Linked DNA regions of Bombyx mori. The protein of the gene in region 2 purifies or fractionates together with the protein of the main gene of each other region. This does not show direct contact. Links are inferred from orthologs where the notes say so. Each region holds a gene or a part of one and is shown on either strand. Other genes may lie near its edges.

Region 1 (2,720 bases), on a different chromosome or scaffold from region 2:
CCGTGGAAGTCAATCGTGAACATTTGTTGAGTACGTATTTCATTAGAAAAATTGGTACCCGCCTGCGGGATTCGAACACCGGCGCATCGCTAAACACGAATGCACGACGACTCTTAAAAAATCATCAATATAATATGAAAACATTAACCACTTATATTTTAATTCCAGATAATCCGTGTCCGAACCTCGGCAATATTGTTACGATAAAACTCTCTGAAAACATTGAGAATGTTCTACAGTCGGACGACACGTATCTCACTATGCTCTCAGAGATGCATTTCCAAATGAACTACAACAATGGACAGTGGACTAGACTCAAGAAGTACCGACCTATAGACGGCATGGTGCCGCAGAAGATACCTCCAGGATCCACTGTGATATCAGCCGGGAATCAGCAACCTGTAGTTTCAATAGCCAACCAAACGATTAGCTAATGTGCTTCAGTGATAAATGACTTTGACATTATCAAGTGCTCTCAACTAAAGTGTTGAAATGTGTTTAATGTGCTTGTGGCCCCAGTATCATGCGTGACAGGTTCGAGACTGGCCACTTACTGTGCTATTTCAATTTTACTGAATGTGACGTGAAATTATATCGGTAGGTATGCATAATATTATTGATGTGAGACAATACAATCAGAACTGATGCAAATTCTAAAGTAATTTATGAAAATTATTACACTGTGCGGTATCAAAAGTAGCAAATGTAAGTACAGAATATAAGAAGTTTTTAACTGTTCTTTATACAACCCCCAAAATGATCTATTATAATGTGTGTAATGTATATTATACCATTTATCTTTCTATAAAGAAATTGATAAGAAAAAAAAAATATCTTCAAATTCACATAGTTAAAACTCCTTTTATGTTTTAATCTCGGGTTTCTCATTTTCAATTGAGATTTTTTTTTTATTGCCTTTGTAGGCAGACGAGCATACGGCCCACCTGATGGTAAGTGATCACCGTCGCTCAAGGACGTCAGCAATGCCAGGGGCAGAGCCAAGCCGCTGCCTACCATAATGATACTATCAATGATCAAGGTAGTAAGCATAATAATATATATAGTCAACCGTAAACACAAAATCTGAAGCATTATAAAAGTCAGATATAATAAAATGAAACAAATAAACCCGAGACTAAACTGTAAAAGTAAGCTTAATTATGTCTAATTGAATATTTAAAGCCAAGTCAAATTGAAATCGGAGAGCTTTATTTGCTTATATGTAATCTCAGGTACAATCTACTTGAACATGATTGTATTCATCTTATTCTGTTGTTCTATATTTTAAACTGTTTTTTCATCTATCATTGCCACATACCTATACATTATTTTGTTCTTCTGTATCCATGGAATACTATAGATGTATTTTTTTCAACGATTGTGACGAATGGTATTAATTCTTATTTTAATTCACTCTGTTTCTTATGGACCCATACATACATCTCTATTCTTTAGTCTATCTAAATGCTATATGGTATATAATTAAAAAAGTAGAAAACTGTGGGATTTTTTTTTATTGCATAGGTGTGTGGACAAGCTCACAGCCCACCTGGTGTTAAGTGGTTACTGGAACCCATAGACATCTACAACGTAAATGCGCCACACGCCTTTCAGAGAATCAGGGATCAGTGCAAAACAAAGAAATGCATTATATGTGTGGCTTAAATTGAACCAAATTAATTTAAAAACACAGACTGTGACAAATAGATATTCATATATCCATTACTATTTAGTTAATATTTTGTTCGACTTTATCTAGAACTGTTATTTTGCATCATAAATATATACCAAATTGATTACATTGGTCGTAACTACTTGGACAATTTTGACAAATACTCATGGGCCGTAATGGAAAAATTTACTATTTGTGTTCGAGATATTTCCACCAAGCCAAGTGGACCTCGGGTCAGGTGAAGTCAGGCTTCATAGATGATTCATAAATATAATAATATTCGGAATTAATGCAATAAATTATGACATGATTTGGGAACATAAAAGTTATGGATACATTGAAACAGAAAGTAGGTGGCGTTATTATCGTTTTAAAATGACTATGTTCATTAATATTTTCCTAACATAAACACTCGTTGTTTGCATCTATATATATACATATATCTAGATTTTATCACCATAGAAGTCAAACTTCTTACGCCCATAAATAAGTCAAGTATTATACAGTACGTAAATATTAAAAATTATATATGTCACATGTATGACTGCTATATGTAACTGGAATAAGGGCGAATTTCGATAATCACATCGTATTTAAAATAATTAAAAAGAGTTTCGTTGTGTTTTCACAGAATTTACATCTCTATAGTATAGTGTGAATTTGTATATAGTTACAAAGCGGTTACAAAGCAAAGAGTTAGCCAATATGTAGATTTTTTAAATTCTGACTTTGTGATTAAAGTTGTATCCAGTCGATTATATATCGTATGCTTTAGTTCACTGCGGATTTTTATAATGTTATTCGGCTTTGATTTGCAATGTTTTGACGTAATAACGTCTTGTAAATCGATGAACACCGGCTGCACGCACGAAAAAGTGTCACGTTCCGCCTGAGCATGAGCGTGCAAGCGAGAGCGCGGAACAAGCGATAGAGAGGCACGATCGGCCCAAGCGTTGGCTCGAGACACATTTATCTCTCTTCTCGCGTGACGTCACAGCGGGCATTTCTAATAGTTCTGCTACGTAATCACGTAAAACTATCGTCCGTA
Region 2 (3,995 bases):
TGCGATTTCGGTCTAAACGCTTTCGTGATGGAAATTTTTATTTCAAGAACGAACCACGTGGAAGACCGCCCACACATGTGAATAAAAATGAAGTAAAAGAGATGGTAGAAGCTGATCCGAGCTAAAGTACCCAGGAATTAGCGGCTTAGTTTAACGTTACCTTACCAACAATACTCATGAATGAAAATTTTGAAAAGAAGAACATCATAGGTACCATTTGAAAAACGTTTCACTCAAAAATCTCAAACCATGAAGGTTCTATGTCAATTCGAAGTACCTATTACAATACAACAGCAATTTCATACTTTAACCCCTATTATATTAGTTACCTACATAATTACCAGCACTATCATATTTATATTAATTGTACGAGTAATAGATCTTTGCCTATGAAATTGCCGTTTTATAATATTGCCGGGACACGTAAATAGTAATTATGGAAAACGAGTTTCGTCGCGGCATCAATGCCGCAGAAACGCCTCACAACATTAATGACGTGTATAGAGTGAACACTGGAGACGAACGCACGGTTTGGTGTTGGTTTAAATGCTTCTGTCAGGGAAATTTTGGTCTCCCTTTGGTCAACCTTAAAAACAAAATTATTGCCCTTTTATGCAGACATTCTAATGGACCCCCTTTGTAACCATCGCTCATGGACGAAAGCAATGCCAGAACCACAGACAATCAACTGACTGCTGACTTATAAATCTAAGAAAAGACAATAATTTTGTTTGGAATGTTTTGCAAGAAAACATGTTTTAAATTGTTTTAATATTTATATAATTTATATAATGTCTATAACTTAAAAGTAAATAATGAACAATGAATATTTGCTACATATGATATGGTGCTGGCGTGCGTACACTCATTAACGGGGAGTCCAGATATTCCATTTCAGTTGCACTCGGACCGGGTTCTGTTTGCGCATTTAATTTCTGTTGTAAAGTCTCATATAATTTATGTACAGATTCATTATGCTGAGTTCCAGGCTGCAGCGCTTTCATAAGAGTTTGAATTCTAGTCTCTGGTAATTTTGGATGAATATACCACAGCAATTTCAATAAGTGTCTTGTCACATTATCCTTAGATAGTCCAGCAAAGAAGAATTCATCAAATAATACAGTACTAAAATCTTCTCCTTGGAACTCATCAGGTAACTGTACTAGAAGTGCCACTAAAGCATGCAAAAATGGGTCTTCATATGCTCTACCATCTTTACAACTACCGAGAATACTAAGAATGCGAAGTAAGGCACCACGGTCACGTAATTTGGCTGCATGCAGTGTGTAGTACATTGCAATAACACCACAAACTGAGCTTTCTCTCATATAGGCTTCACAAGCATCAGGTGGAGGTCCCGAGTGCTCTATCGTAGTGATGGCAGACTCTCTTTCATCTGGAGGTAACTTATTATGTAGTGCTCTCACTTGATCATCCACCATCAATGACATCAAGGCAGGCAAGTATTTTGTGACACATTGACTATCTAATTTTGGCTCTTTGAATTCTTGAGAATCGATCATTACCCAAGCGCTCAACCCTAATGCCAACATTCTTAGCAGTAGTATTAAAACTGTACTATCTCGAGGTAGCCCTTCAGTGTTTATTAAATGTTGTAAAATTTTGATAGCTGACGTTGCTAAGAAATTGATAGCATAAGGGTCGCATAACGTCATAGAAAGATCTCCTAGAACTTGCTCCTGTCCCTTTTTAATACTGTCTAAAAAACCTTGCAGTTCCCTAGATCTTTTAATGTCTACATTCCTTTCCCTGATACAAGCATCCAAACACCATGTGAATTTATGACAAGGGTCTACAGATATGATGTCTTGAACTTCTAGGTCATGCAAGGCCATGAGAAGCTCTGCTCTTAATGTACAATAATGAACATTTCTAGTTCTTAAGAATAATGTTCTCAGGAATTGTAACACCATGTCATATAACTTAACACTAGTACCTATCATGTGGGCAAGTTTCTGAACAACTGCACCTTGTCTCCTTACTTTTGGGGAAGGGGAAAAAAATAGATTTGTAAGATTTTCATGATCAAACAGAACATCTTCTTTCTCCCTGATGTACTGACTGAGGAGTGGAGAAACTTCATCTCCAAACAGTGACTGGTTGTCTTGCCATATTTGACGCTTCACCTCAGTATCTGTGTCATTGTACAGTTCTCTGTCGCGAACTAGTACCCTTAGATACTTATCATCTATATGTGGGATATTTTTAAGAATACCCATTATAACAGGTCTTAAAGCTTTAACTCTGACGACTGGGAAGCTTTTAGATAGCAGTTCTTTGAGTTTTTTGTCATTATCCTTGTTATCTTTATTGCCAAGCTCGTTGATGTGGGCAATGAGTTTTTCACGTAATTCCTCCAGAACTGATGTATGAAAGTCAAGCCGCCGAACGCCATGGAGGTCTAGTAAAGGCAGCATCGGCCTTAAAGAAGGCAATAAAATACCGTTTTCAAGTTGAAACTCTTCAATAGCTTTCAATGGGTCGGTACAGCTTGTCAGAGCATCTCGCAAGAAAGTTTGTCCTGGTACTCCCACTTCTTCTAGACCAGTGCCTGGTAGTTTACTTGACGACGCCATCGATCTTAATTTAATTCAGTTTTTCAGTTCATTTAATAAATCAACACAAATAAATCTTAAATAAAGTTAACAACAACAGAAAATAACATAAATTAGTTTCCTGCTTAGAAATTATTGACAAGCAACTGACATTAAGCATATATTGACGTTTGACATCGAGCAGTAGTTTTATTTTTTTAACTGGAAAGGCAAATATGTCATACCATACGCCTACTCATATATATTCTTATATATGAAAAATGAAAATTTGAAGTGAAATAAAATGAAGTTGGTTAATTAATAACATGGTATGAAATACAATGAGATGAGATGATATGGGATGAAATATAATCTCAGTAAAATGGTGGTTATCTACTAAGGCTTTTTAAGTGGACTTTTTGGAGATCCCGAGAATTTACGTCCAGCGGCTTTGTTTCATTTTCCCACATTTGTGCAATTTCACAGATATTAAACAGCTAATAAACCACCGTTATTACTTTTTTTTTTAAGAGATTTTATGACCTGGTAACTGTGACTTTTAAGTCATGTCTTATTTTAATCTATATTCTTGATTTTATGAAAAATGATATTATGGAGTGAAATGAAATGAAAATGATTAATTTGAGACATTAATCAACTAGGATGAAATTAAATGAGATGATATGAGATGAAATCTAATCTCAGTAAAACGGTGGTCATTTACTAAGATTTTTCAGTGTACTTTTTGGAGGAGCCCGAGAAGTTAAGTCCAGCGTCTTTGTTTCATTTTCCCACATACCGTTATTACACAAGTGAAAACGTTTACAGATTAAAAGCCGTTCAATATTATTTGTAATCTCTTCGTAGTCTGTCATTATCATAATTATTGTGTTTTATTGGCTCAAACGACTCGTTACCAAGCCTTAAATTCTATAAAATTGACAGTGTTTTATCTAAAATCTAAAAGTTTGTATCAATCAAATTACCAATTTAAATGCCTTTCACTTGTGTATAAAAATGGATAAACAGAAAACGTAATTACTGATTGGTTTTCGTCTTAGTTTGAAAGCAATGCAAACAACTGAAATGAATTAATACATACTGCTTTTCAGATTAATATGTGGAGATGTAAATGGGAATTTCAATGCTTTGTTTACGCGCGTAGAATCGATTGTGAAGAAATCTGGACAGTTTGATTTGCTTTTATGTGTTGGAACATTCTTTGGAGATGATAATTCACAACTGGATGCATATAAAATGGGAACGAGGAAAGGTAAAAACGTTGACTTAAAATTTTTAATACGATAGAGATGGGCTCATTAGTTTACGGTCGACCCGGTATGAGATAGTCATTGGAACCTCTACATGTTTCATATTGATAATAATTATACTGTCGCTTATACTACCACGTGAGGATGAAGCATCAACATTATTGAGGCA

What was found.
Region 1: the proteins of negative elongation factor B (region 2) and negative elongation factor A purify together in Homo sapiens (affinity purification with mass spectrometry; 8 studies listed by BioGRID and IntAct, counting the BioPlex papers as one, with this or other methods). This does not show direct contact. The link is inferred for Bombyx mori from reciprocal best matches to the Homo sapiens genes NELFB and NELFA.

What each region holds. Positions count from the first base shown.
Region 1 is NC_085132.1:9,755,381-9,758,100, reverse strand, and holds part of negative elongation factor A, read left to right. Parts: intron 1-168; coding exon 169-434; 3' UTR 435-2,720. UniProt on the Homo sapiens protein: Essential component of the NELF complex, a complex that negatively regulates the elongation of transcription by RNA polymerase II.
Region 2 is NC_085125.1:6,339,635-6,343,629, forward strand, and holds negative elongation factor B, read right to left. Parts: upstream 2,753-3,995; 5' UTR 2,598-2,752; coding exon 834-2,597; 3' UTR 757-833; downstream 1-756. Other genes in the region: CWF19-like protein 1, read left to right, coding at 3,573-3,589, 3,668-3,828. UniProt on the Homo sapiens protein: Essential component of the NELF complex, a complex that negatively regulates the elongation of transcription by RNA polymerase II.